3 linked regions of the Neurospora crassa OR74A genome follow. The protein of the gene in region 2 interacts with the protein of the main gene of each other region in a biochemical or structural test. Links are inferred from orthologs where the notes say so. Each region holds a gene or a part of one and is shown on either strand. Other genes may lie near its edges.

Region 1 (4,297 bases), on a different chromosome or scaffold from region 2:
CATCGGCCCCGAGGCTCCCGCTCCCTTCTCCTTGGCTTGATCACTGCGCGTCCGAACATGGCTATAGGGTTGGAGCTTTCAAGCTACCATTCAGACCCTTTGATTTACTCTCCCTTCATCATAAAACGCATCATCGTGTCCTCATCAGGTTCGAGCTTTCGCACCAAAGGACCAATCGGCCTCCATGTGCGTCTACTTATCCTCGCCTTTCTCTTTTAAACATAACTTTGATAACGCCAATTCAAGGGGTATGGTGTGGTGAATAAGCGTGAGGGGGCACTATGAGATTGAAGCAATATAGTTCTGCCGTGTTGTGACTTGTGTTTGGGCGAATGAACTCGTATGGGGGAGCCGAAAGGCTGATGGGGTAAGATGTTTATGGTAGGATTTCCCAGATGGTGCCGTGATCAACATCACATCTGGGTCCCCTCATCCCAATCTTTAACCCAACCATCCCCTTCGTAAAAAGAACTAGACGGATTGTACAGCATTTTACATGTCCATCGACTCGGTGCCGTTAGCACCGAAGTTGAAGCCACCCTGCTGGGCACCACCGGAAGCACCGAATCCAAACTGCTGCTGAGCGCCCATGGCCTCATCACCGGCCTCGTCCTCGTCGGAGAAGTACTTTTCAATGATGTTGTACGCCTTCATGTAGATCTCCTCGTTGGCGTTCGTCTGGCAGTCGTGAATCTTCTCCATTCCTCCGCATTCCTCGATAAATAGGGCATAACGGTTGATCGAGTCAGGGCCATCGCCAGCGGCGTTCTTGTCGAGCTCGCCAACCTTGAGAATATTCTCAAGACCATCCAGGGCAACCTGGATAATCTTGTTGTCAGGGCAAGCCAGAAGGTCGCAGAGCGGCTTGATGCAGCCTTGAGCAACCAAGTATCTGATCTGATCGGGCTTCTGGAGACCACCCGAAGTCGCGTTGCTGATAGCCCAGCAGGCCTCCTTACGAGTCTTGAGGTCGGCATGGGAGAGAAGGTGGATCAAAGGAGGGATGATGTTGGCGTCAATGACAGATTGGATCTGAGCCGAGTTTCCAGCAGTAATGTTGCTGATGGTCCAGCAAGCCTCCTTGCGGATGCCATCCTTGTTGGAGCTCAGAAGCGACAGGAGGCAGGGAAGGGCACCGCAGTTAATGATAACCTGGGTCTGAACATCGTCTCCCGTCACAATGTTGCCAACGGATCGAAGCGCGGGCGTCTGGACAGAGGTGGAAGCATGCATGAGGAGCTCAACAAGACGCCTGGGAATGCCAGCCTCAATAACCGCCTGGATTTTGTCGTTGGATCCATCCGAGAGGTAGGAGATGGCCCAGCAAGCGTCAATAAGAACCTCGTCGTCGAGCGAGTAGACGAGCTTGGCGAGAACTGGCAAAGCAGGGGCGATCTATGATGGATCAGTAGACATACTAGATTGTTCGTGATCGAGAGAACTAACCGTGTTCCAGTCGGGCTGAGGAGTCTTGCCACGGCAGAAGTTACTAAGAGTCCAGGTAGCATTCCTGAGCATGCTAAGTTTGCGGCTATCACCAAGGAGGGTCAACAAAGGACGCAGAGCACCGCAGCTTAGAACGTAATCACGGCATTGAGGGCTATCGCCAGCAATATTGCCGAGAGCCCAAACAGCCTGTTCACGCACATCAGGCTCGGGGCTTCCGAGAAGCTCGACGAAGATGGGAACAGCACCAGCTTCGATGACAACCTGGGTTTGAGTGGCAGAGCCCGAAGCAATGTTGGTAAGGGCCCAAGCGGCCTCGAACTGGACCAGGGTGTGGGGGGAGCGGAGGAACTCGACGAAGCGACCAACGACGCCGGTCTTGATAACCTCCTCAATGGGAGGGTTGCGCTCCTTGCTGAGCAGCTTTCTGAACTTAGTGGTCGCCTGAATTTGCTTATCGATCTCACTGGAGAAGACACCCTCGACCATCTTGGGAAGGTCCTCGCTCAACTATGACAACTGGGTTAGCATGTGGAGATCAACTATAACAAAGATCGGGGACGTGACGGAATGTGGGGTGGTTTTCGTTTGTACAATGTTCGAGTTTGCGCGCGCAGCTTGAATGCAGGTTCGGCACTGCCTGGGGGTTTGTGGCTCAAGCATCACCATCATCGGCGGGGTACACGTGGGGGAGAGAAGGGAGAGGCGATGGACGGACGCAGTAGCAAAATTGTGGCCGATCATGTAAGGGGAGTAAGATAGAGGTTTGCATACCTGAGACTCGGTGGGAGGGTTCTCATCGTCACTGTCGGGGGCGGCACCAAGGGAAGCTCCAGGCCGCGAGTCGCCAGCACCAATACCGCGCCTCTTGGCCAAGTTCTCCTCGCGCTTCGCCTTGCGAATTTCGACCTGCTGTTCCTCACGACGGCGACGAAGCTCATCGGGCTTGAAAGCACTCTTGGCCTTGAACTGGGTGCGACGATGCTCGGGAATGTATCGGTCAGCCATGGTTGCGACGCGATGTCGAGACGACGGTGTCTAGACGGATGGGTGATGGAGGTGTGATATGAAGGCGGCAAACGAGGGGCGATGCAATCGATGAAGCCCCGGCGACGAAGTTGCTGCGAGCCGTTCAAAGGGAGGTATATGCGATCAAGAAAAGCCGGAGAATTGGAAGAGCCCGGTTGATACGGTCCTGCCAAAGCAATCCTGAATGGGACGGAGAAAAGTATGGGTGCGTTGTCGGCGAGACGGAAAACGTCAGAGAAGGATTGGGTTTTGGGGATGGATGGGGCAGGCGAGTTGTGTGTTTTTTGAGGAGCGACGATGAAAGAATTTGGGAGTTCGCCCGCGCCTCGAGCAGAAAGCGGAAACAAGAATGCGGCGGCGGCTTGTCCCCTCCTCTACCAGCACTTTCCACCTCCACGAAAGTGAAGTCCAAGTGCAGGCAGTCACTGTGCCCTGCCTGCCACTCAGTCACAGCTGCCCCTCAGGCCTGAAGGTGGCCCAGTCACTGCCCACAGCGCCCAATGCTGGCACCAACTGTAGCGAAAAGAGTTTGGCTTCTGAAAGTGGGGATGGAAGAGCCAAGCTCGAGCACAGGCCACATGAGCAGCTTTGTAACTTGTCCGCTGTTCTTGGAGTGCAGGAACTTGTCCACCATTGGGTGGCCCCACCTCAGAGCGGCTGGACCCTCCAGGCATTCTTCTCATTCCTTCCATTTTGCTTGTGAACGTCATGGATTGTTTGCAGGTTACACACTGCCCGTCATAACTTCATCGACCTCAGGCCGCGTCCGTCGAGCCGCAAGCTTTTCGTTTCCCTGAATGACTACGACATGTTTCAGTTACTTGAAAGAACGACGTCAAAAGGCCGCTCTCAACCTCCCACCGTCTGAGCTAGGTAGATACGTCTTTGCTACCTCCAGGCTTTAGGTTGTGTTGGGAGGCTGGCCTGCAAGGTCCTGTTCGGGAGTCCCCGACCCCTCATGACTATACTGGGTAGGTAAGAGAAAGCACAGACCATGCGTCTAACCATTACCGTAGCCCTGCAAGGCTTGCTGAAAGCACAGCGCTTCAAGTCTGATGGTCTGGCCCGACGGGCGGCCAAGACCCTTGCCCTGCACATGCGGTCGCGCAAACTTGGCGATTGGGCAGGTGCCATTTCCGCTTTCAAGACGCGTAAAGTGAACGCGTAATGTACGACGTATAACACTGAAGTCCCCAAGTTGCCCTACAACGGTTGGTAAGTATCACGACCAACCGCTGGTGGTGTTTCATCCACATACTCATCCGCCGCCATGTAATCGGAACGGAGAGTTGGGATATCCAGATGATGCGCCCGCTCAGAGACAGGAAACCGGCGGCCAAGGCAAAGCCACCACTTTTTCCGTCAACGCTCACACCCCTACGAGCCATTCTCGACGATGACGGTGATGCCCAGCCCGGGTCCATGGTCAATGTCATTGGTGTTCTTAAGGACTGCCGAGCACCCGTCGCGACACACGGATCGGACTGGAAGTGCACCCTGACCATATCTGACCTGTCCATTGAAGATGAATCGGCCGGAGTTGAGCTCGTCATCTTCCGCCCCGAGGCACGGATGCCCGAAGTCGGCGCCGGAGACGTGCTTGTTGTTCTAAGCGCAAAAGTTCAGAGGTTCAAGTCCAACCCAAAGTCTCTCATCACCAGCAAGATCACCACCGTTTGCGTTTACAAGGCAGCGACAATACCCGTCTATCCCGCTTCAGCACAGGTAGCACTCTTGCCCCCAAAGCAAGGTGAAAGCCACAAGCTGTTGAAGGAGGAACACCACCAGTATGTGTCCTACTTATACAACGTGATCGACAAGT
Region 2 (4,086 bases):
TAAAACAGTAACGGTAATGGAGGCCGAGTGTTTTCTGTCTTAGTGTAGGCCCTGGAAACCCAACCAAATAGCCGTTGGCTGTCCCTTATTAAGTGCAGGTATTTATCTTGGTGGGAAGACTTATACGGACGACACAGCAATCCCCGAGGGATGCTGGAGAGGGAGCTTGATCGTGAATCTGTGGTACCTTCTTATAATCGCTAGGTAGGTAGGTATTAACTGGTACGACAAGGAGCGTTCTTTATCTAACAGTTTAGAAGTGGTCACTACATCCACAACGCTTTCTGTTGACGGGTGTTCTGGAAGAAAAGGGATGGGGGCTTCTTGGATTTCAGAGACCCCCTACATATTAGGGAGGGAAGTCACTGCTAGCCTAGGCAGCCAATGCCGATGAGAGCCCCATCTCCTTTTGCCTGTTAGCATGGAAGTCTGGCTTGTCTGGCAGCCGGCCAGGCAGGCAGGGACCTTTGAACAAGCGCCAGGGAAGCAACATTATACGTAGGTAGGTACTTCAGTTGTAACTAAGAGAGACCACAATCTGGGCGGGGAGGGGGTGTGCGTCATAGAGGATAGGTCTCTCAACCTTGGTCCGCAGGTAACTGTTGTTGGTAAGTTTCTGTAGAGTTGGTGGTAACGCCTAAGAAAAGATACAGTGCACATCTGGAAGCGGATAGAAACGTCACTTCTCTCACCCTCCCTTTTCCACGACCCCCCGGCCTTCAGCCCTCCACTTCAAATGCGGCACCTGGACCCCCGTTCAACGTCTAGCAGCCCTGCGGTTGCCGGGTAGGGTGTAGTTGCTAGTAGTGAAGCACTGAGCCTTGGGCGTCGTGGGAGCCTGGCCACCTCAGTTGTGTTCTTGGAGACATCCATCATAGGTACCTAGGTACACCATGTGCCATCTTTTACTTCCACTTCACATGAAAGGACAGATGTTCTTTATCCTAAAACTTTGTTCAATTGCCCGTGGGCAAAGCGTCTTCTTGAAGTGTTTGCAGAGGTTTTGCATTTCATTGTCCCTTCTTCCCAAGTCGTTTCCTGCAGTGAGACGTCTAATTCCTTCTTTCCCGAGAAACACGGAGCGAGCCGTTTGGTGCAGGCGAGCATTCCCGTCGACCTTTCAGGCCTGGTCAGCAAAAGTTTAGCGAAGAAACCGCACGAGCCAGGCGACGAAGGTAACACCAAACACAGCACTAGGTACTGGGATACGTTACAGGCTCCCGTCCCTCCCAACAACAACAGGCAACAACACCCCCCCCCCCCCCCCCCCCAGCCGGACAGCATCGAAACTGAAAGCATACACAACCCACCCACCTGCACCTTCACCAGCACGGCGAAGCATCAGCACCTGCGATTGTTGACAAAATTTTCGAGCAAAACAAGACCCGCAGTTCGGCGTCAGCACTGCACTGTGTCTGGATTCTCCTCTCTCCTTCCACTTGCAGGCGAACGCTCGGAACAGCGACAAACCCCTCGCATCGCCATCCCCCATCCATCCCTCTCTATCCCCATCGCAATCGTCTCCAGACGGACCGCATCGATACCATCCATCCACCAACCGCCATCACCTGGCATCCAGATCCCACCCACGGCTCTGCATCTGCGCCTCGCCTCTGCGGTTCGATCTGATCTCACCGAAAGCAAATCGAGTCTTGCCCCGATTAAGATTCAAGGTTGCTGTGGACCGTGAACCTTGGACTCCCGCCCCCCGCTTGTTCCACGCAGCAAAACTTTAGTTGCATCAAGCCCAGGCCGACTTTCTCTCCCTTTCGGAAACCCCCCCCCTCCCTCTTCTCCCACTACCACCGCCAACCCGCTTCGTTTGCTGGAGAGAGACCCGTTCTTCCTCCGAACCAGGCATCCAAACCGCAACCATGGAGGGCTCTTCAGATATCAACACCGTCCTCACCAACTCGCTGAGTCCTGGTCAGTATATATTCGACATCCTCACCCATGCCCCGACCCTCCTGCCTTTTGGCAGCCGCTCTCGCCATGATGAATCGCGTCAGCTCGTCCAAGCCGTGACGCACATGCTGACTCCTTGTCTCTAGACGCGACCCTGCGACATGCTGCCGAACAGCAGCTCAGCCAAGCCGCTCAGACAAACTTCGTATGGCCTCCTCCCCTCGTTGCTCCTGTGTCGCGTCCCCACAGCAAGGCCTTCATAAACGCTAACTTGGCTGTTTCTTAGTCTCAATACCTCGTGACACTTGTCCAAGAGTTGGCAAATGAGAGCGCCCAGAGCCACATCCGAGCGGCGGCCGGTATCGCCCTCAAGAACGCCTTCAGTGCTCGCGAGTTCGCTAGGCAAGCAGAGCTCCAAGCAAAATGGCTTCAGCAGACAGACCAAGACACAAAGACACGGGTGAAACAGCTCACCCTCGAGACCCTCGCCTCCAGCAGTACCCAGGCAAGCCAGGCCTCGGCGCAGGTTATCGCGGCTATCGCTACCATCGAGTTACCACGAAACGAGTGGCCAGACCTTATGCACGCCCTGGTCAAGAATGTTAGCGAGGGAAGCGAGCACCAGAAGCAGGCCTCTCTGACCACCATCGGCTTCATCTGCGAGAGTCAAGATGTCGATCTACGAAACAGCCTGGTTCAACATTCCAATGCCATCCTCACAGCTGTTGTCCAAGGTGCTCGTAAGGAGGAGCCCAACCGCGAAGTTCGACTTGCCGCCATTACCGCCCTCGGCGACTCTCTTGAGTTTGTCGGTAACAACTTTAAGCATGAGGGCGAGCGCAACTACATTATGCAGGTTATTTGCGAGGCGACACAGGCCGAGGACTCTCGGATACAGCAGGGTGCTTATGGTTGCCTCAACCGCATCATGGCCCTCTACTACGAGAACATGCGCTTCTACATGGAAAAGGCTTTGTTTGGTCTCACCATCCTGGGCATGAAGAGCGATGACGAGGATGTGGCCAAGCTTGCAGTTGAGTTCTGGAGTACCGTTTGCGAAGAGGAGATTGCTATCGAAGATGACAATGCTCAGGTACGTTTCACTGCCACCTTGGTTGAGCAAGAATCCCACTAACAACAGCTGCAGGTTGAGAGCTCGGAGCAGATGCGCCCCTTCTACAACTTCGCCCGCGTTGCTACACTCGAAGTGGTCCCTGTGCTCCTACAGCTCCTCACCAAGCAAGATGAGGATGCGGCTGATGACGAGTACAACATTTCGCGTGCCGCGTACCAGTGTCTCCAACTCTATTCTCAGGCTGTTGGTGCGGCAATCATCCAGCCAGTCATCCAGTTCGTTGAAGCCAACCTTCGCGCTGACGACTGGCACCTCCGTGATGCCGCTGTTTCTGCTTTCGGTGCCATGATGGACGGCCCCGAGGAGAAGTTGCTTGAGCCTATCGTCAAGTCTGGCATGCAGCCCTTGATCGGCATGATGGAGGACCCCTCTTTACATGTTCGTGACTCGACCGCATACGCTCTTGGCAGAATTACAGAAACTTGCTCGGAAGTGATCGATCCTGCTGTTCACCTTGACCCCTTGATCACCTCCCTGTTCAACGGCCTCATGAGCAGCCCCAGAATGGCCGCGTCCTGCTGCTGGGCTTTGATGAACCTCGCGGAGCGTTTTGGCGGCGAATATGGTGCCGCGCAAAACCCCATTACTCCTCACTTCAACCAGTGCGTGACCAACTTGCTCGCCGTGACGGCGAAGCTTGACGGTGACGCTACAGTTCGCACCGCTGCCTACGAGGTTCTTAACGTGTTTGTGCAGAATGCTGCCAACGACAGTCTCCCTGCTGTTGCATCCCTCTCGGATGTTATCCTTCAACGTTTGGAGGAAACACTGCCCCTGCAATCCCAAGTTGTCAGCGTTGAAGACAAGATCACTCTCGAGGATATGCAGACCAGTCTCTGCACCGTGCTCCAGGCAATCATTCAGCGCCTGGACAAGGAGATCACTCCCCAAGGCGACCGCATCATGCAGGTTCTGCTTCAGCTCTTGAACACTATTAATGGCAAGTCGGCTGTTCCTGAAGGTGTCTTCGCAGCCATCAGCGGCCTTGCGAACGCCATGGAGGAGGACTTTGCCAAGTACATGGACGCTTTTGCTCCCTTCCTGTA
Region 3 (3,978 bases), about 7.4 Mb from region 2:
CCATTTATTTCCCTTCCCTTCCCTTCCCTTTCCCTTCACCTGTTCACACCACCGGCCCTGTACGAGCGGTAAAAGCTCTGAGCGGCATCCGACTCGTTGACGCCTTGGTGGGCACCCATGCCGCTGGTAGCCTTTTGGGCAGCGGCCACCTTGGCTTGGAGGTCGGCGGCGTTTTGGTCGATCCACTGAAGCTGGTGAAGGTGACCGTTGAGGACACGGACGATTTGGCTGAGCTGTTGTGTTTTGTTTATCGTGTGCGTTAGTGATTGGATAAAATAAGGGAAAAATGGAGAAAAAGGAGAGAAAAAGGAGGAGAAAAAAAAGGGAGAGAGAAAAACATACCGGATCATCAGGCTTGCTCCCCTTGCTCAACGTGCCCGTCATATCATTTATCTCCTTGATCATCTTGGCCAAATCCTTGCCCATCTCATCCAGCCTATCCGTCAGCTTCTCGGCAAGCTTATACGTCCTCTCGCGCTCCTGATCGGGGCCCAAGCCGTCGCCAACACCGCCAGCAGCCTTTGACTCGCCGCCGGATCCAAGCTGCTGCTTCTTGAACAACTCCTCCAGCTGTGCCTCGTACTGGTCCAGCCACGCGGTCAGCTCGTCCTGCTGCGACTCGACGCCCGAGAGCTGGCGCTCGATCTCGTTGCTGGCCTTTTCGGCCTCGTACGTGCTGGTGTACAGCTTCTGGATCTTCTCGCCGTTTTCGACCAGGAGGCGGTCCCATTCGGCCACCTTGGCGGCTTGCGACTTGAATTCCTTCTGGTACTTGGAGAGATCGGTGGCCCAGCGGGTGATGATTTCATCCATGGTCTTGTTCTTCAACCGCGGGAGAGTAGAAGTGGGGCCGGTGGTCGTGGAGGCGAGGTTGCCGGTGGTGCTGGTGGTGCCGGCGGCAGTAGTGGTGTTGTTGGTGGTGGTTTTGGAGGTGGTGGTGTCCGCAGGCTTGGCTCCTCCTCCAAAGAGACTGCTGGTGGTTCCAGCAGTGGCGGTGGTGCTCCCACCGGCAGTGGTGGTGGCCGCTGTGGTAGTGGCGGGCTTGGTGGTGGCCGCACCGAAGAGGCCGCTAGTTGTGGTCGAAGACGAAGGAGCAGGCGCCGTGGTTGTGGTCGTCGAAGGCGTAGTCGATCCAAACAAGCCTCCTGATGCTGGGGCAGTAGAGGTAGTGGTAGCATCCTTGTTGGCGCCGAACAGACTGCCGGAAGCAGCAGTGGTGGTAGAGGTGGCAGGAGCTGAGGTAGCAGGAGTGGCGCCGAACAGACCACCCGTAGCTGGCTTTGCGGCTTCGGCCGGCTTGCTTGTGTTGGCACCAAAGAGGCCGGAAGTTGCTGGTGCTGTGGTGGTCGTGGTCGATGTCGTAGCCGGGGTTGTCGAGGCTCCGCCAAACAGGCTGCCACCGCTGGTCGCAGGCTTCGCGCCAAAGAGAGTAGATCCGGAAGTGGCTGTCGTCGCGGGAGTTGTGCTGGACGCAGGCTCGGCTGGCTTGGCGCCAAAGAGACCAGAAGTGGTGCCAGAGGTGGTGGTCTCGGCTGGCTTCGCTCCGAACAGAGATGGTGTTGTTCCCGAGGTGGGGGCAGGGGTTGTGGTCGGGGTACTCGAGGCTCCTCCTCCTCCAAAGAGGTTGCCAGAGGCAGGCTGGGTAGCACCAAAGAGAGAGGGCGCGGCCTTGGAAGCGTCAGCAGCAGGTGGTGCACCGGCTGGGGTAGTCGATCCTAGTCCAAACGAGGTCTTAGCCGGCGTCGTCTGAGAGTTGGCGCCAGCTCCGAAGAGACCACCGGTAGCCGGAGTAGTAGAAGCATTGTTTCCAAACAGACCTCCCGAAGGAGCTCCTGTTGCGGGTGTGGTGCTGGCCCCGCCACCAAACAAGTTCGAGCCACCAGCGGCGGGGGTTGTCGATGTGTTGGCAGTGGTGTTTCCAAACAAGCCTGCGCCAGGCGTCGTGCTGCCTCCTCCGGCAGTGTTGGAAGCAGAGCCGAAAAGCGAAGGTGTAGTCGAGGTGGTATTGGCTCCGAATAGTCCTCCAGGTTTCGAGGCATCTGTAGGCTTAGCGCCAAACAAGCTACCGGCTGGCTGTGTCGAGCTCGCTGCTGGGGTGCCGAAGGAGGAGGCTCCGAAGAGACCACCGGATGTAGCAGTTGTTGCTGGTTGGCCCGAGGCCGCGCTGGAGCTTGGTGTACCGAAGAATGACATGATTGCGATTATGTGAGGCTGACGATATGATGTCGAGGTTTCGGGGTTGGTTGGTTGGATGGATGGATGAGGCGTTGGTGGTTGGGTAGTCGTCGTCAACCAAAATCTAGAAAGTCAACAACAGCGTCCCACTTCCCAAGGCTGTTGCGGTTACCTCAACAACAACAGGGAGCGCGCGGAAACCCAAGCAACGATTCGTTGAAATGCGAAGAGGAAGATCGGCGCGATCTCGGTTTTGAGTAAGTGATGCAATGGTCCAGCCGTGGTTATCGGATCGCGAGTTTTGGACGTCGGTTCGGAATCCGTTTGGTGGAGTGGACGTGGACGTCGTTTGGGCGTGGATTGGAGAAAGCAAAGAAAGTGTGGCAGCGTCACTCAGTCTCTCGGTCTCTGTTTGTCAAGGTTCCGTCCGTCGCGACAGGCCTTTCCACTTTTTTGGAGGTGCTGCAGCGCGCCTGGGCTTTTCCCCTTCTGGGGACCCGGACGCGCACTCAACAAGGCCAAGCATTTCCCGCTTATTGGAGCACTCCAGTCACCACTGCAACGAGTCAGCCCCAGGTGAAGTGGTCAGCCTCACCTCACCTACCCCGTCTAACATTTTACTAGCAAGTGCCAAGCGTGCACGGCCAATCAATATGTGGCTTGACGGCAGTTCGACAACTGACGGAGAACTTGAGCAATGACGGGGCGGGCCTCATAAACTGAAGCGAAGTGCTGACTTTCCACTTGCCGTGATGCTCTTCTGCATTCTGACTGGACCGTCTGGTTGCAGCACATTACGCAGCGAGTTACCATACAGTTTCCGGACACGGCGGTACCTTAGTACCATACCGTACCGTACCGTACCGCACCGTCCCAGGGTAGCCGAGCAAGAAGCAGGAGCCCCGTTCAGTCGTCTCGGAAAGCTTGGGGTGGTGGTTACCCCATGTTCTAGATTAGGCCATCGTGAGCCCATCCTCTAGACTAACTCTAGGCCATCCGGAAGCTGTTCCTTTCTCTCGTCTCTCTCCACACACATTGCTGTCCATCGTCTGGACATTGGGATGCCACAAGTCAGCCGCAACGTCTGTGTGCATACCCAATCTTGATTCAGTTCACTTTGACCTCAGGCCATCTGCTGCGTGCAATTGACCTATCTCCTGCAGAGTATAAGAGTCGGCTTACTCCCGTCTTGTTATAGGACACTCCAGTCCTGTCCCTCACAGCAGTAAACATACTGTAGCACCCCACACCAACTACATCACTCCTCAGTCCTCACCTTGGCCCCCCGATCCCCGATCCCGATCCTCCCATATCCATATCCATATCCATATACATATACATACACCTATCTTGCTTCCTACCTACCATATACATTTCTGCGCTTCCTTCAGCACTCACCATAGTCGGAAATCCTCTTGTTCTTTGATCGTATAGACCGCCGCGACTACGCTTCGAGATCACAATGGCTTCGCGCAGGAACAGTCTGTCGCCTCCCGAGAGGCAGGGGACCATGGACCCGGGCGCTCATGAGCTACCTGGTAGGTTACAGCTGATGGGGAACTTGGGAGACCTCTGGACAAAGTCGGCACATGGATATCCAACTAACCATTCATTCTACGCGACAACAGGCTCCGACACCGAAGATCACTACTCCGATGCCATCTCTTCTCCCAAAGCTCCCTCCTCGCCCATCCCGCGAACAAGAGTCGAGAGAGTAGACGACAAGCCGGCGTATGGAGAGGTCCCGGGGACCAAGGCGTATTCTATGAGGGAAGGGGACGCGAAGCCGGATGAATTTGCCAT

The links. The genes of interacting proteins can lie anywhere in the genome.
Region 1: the proteins of NCU02011 (region 2) and NCU01249 form a complex in vitro, tested with the Saccharomyces cerevisiae proteins (6 studies listed by BioGRID). The link is inferred for Neurospora crassa OR74A from reciprocal best matches to the Saccharomyces cerevisiae genes KAP95 and SRP1.
Region 3: the proteins of NCU02011 (region 2) and NCU02808 form a complex in vitro, tested with the Saccharomyces cerevisiae proteins (2 studies listed by BioGRID). The link is inferred for Neurospora crassa OR74A from reciprocal best matches to the Saccharomyces cerevisiae genes KAP95 and NSP1.

What each region holds. Positions count from the first base shown.
Region 1 is NC_026505.1:3,366,264-3,370,560, reverse strand, and holds the start of NCU01249 (importin alpha subunit), read right to left. Parts: upstream 2,801-4,297; 5' UTR 2,455-2,800; coding exon 2,221-2,454; intron 1,957-2,220; coding exon 1,447-1,956; intron 1,396-1,446; coding exon 493-1,395; 3' UTR 1-492. Other genes in the region: NCU01248 (hypothetical protein), read left to right, coding at 3,778-4,297. UniProt on the Saccharomyces cerevisiae protein: Functions in nuclear protein import as an adapter protein for importin beta nuclear receptors. Binds specifically and directly to substrates containing either a simple or bipartite NLS motif. Promotes docking of import substrates to the nuclear envelope.
Region 2 is NC_026501.1:1,681,572-1,685,657, reverse strand, and holds the start of NCU02011 (importin subunit beta-1), read left to right. Parts: upstream 1-1,272; 5' UTR 1,273-1,874; coding exon 1,875-1,926; intron 1,927-2,051; coding exon 2,052-2,110; intron 2,111-2,191; coding exon 2,192-2,998; intron 2,999-3,052; coding exon 3,053-4,086. UniProt on the Saccharomyces cerevisiae protein: Importin beta subunit that functions in nuclear protein import through association with the importin alpha subunit, which binds to the classical nuclear localization signal (cNLS) in cargo substrates.
Region 3 is NC_026501.1:9,052,819-9,056,796, reverse strand, and holds the start of NCU02808 (hypothetical protein), read right to left. Parts: upstream 2,801-3,978; 5' UTR 2,194-2,800; coding exon 343-2,193; intron 234-342; coding exon 36-233; 3' UTR 1-35. Other genes in the region: NCU02809 (hypothetical protein), read left to right, coding at 3,638-3,713, 3,804-3,978.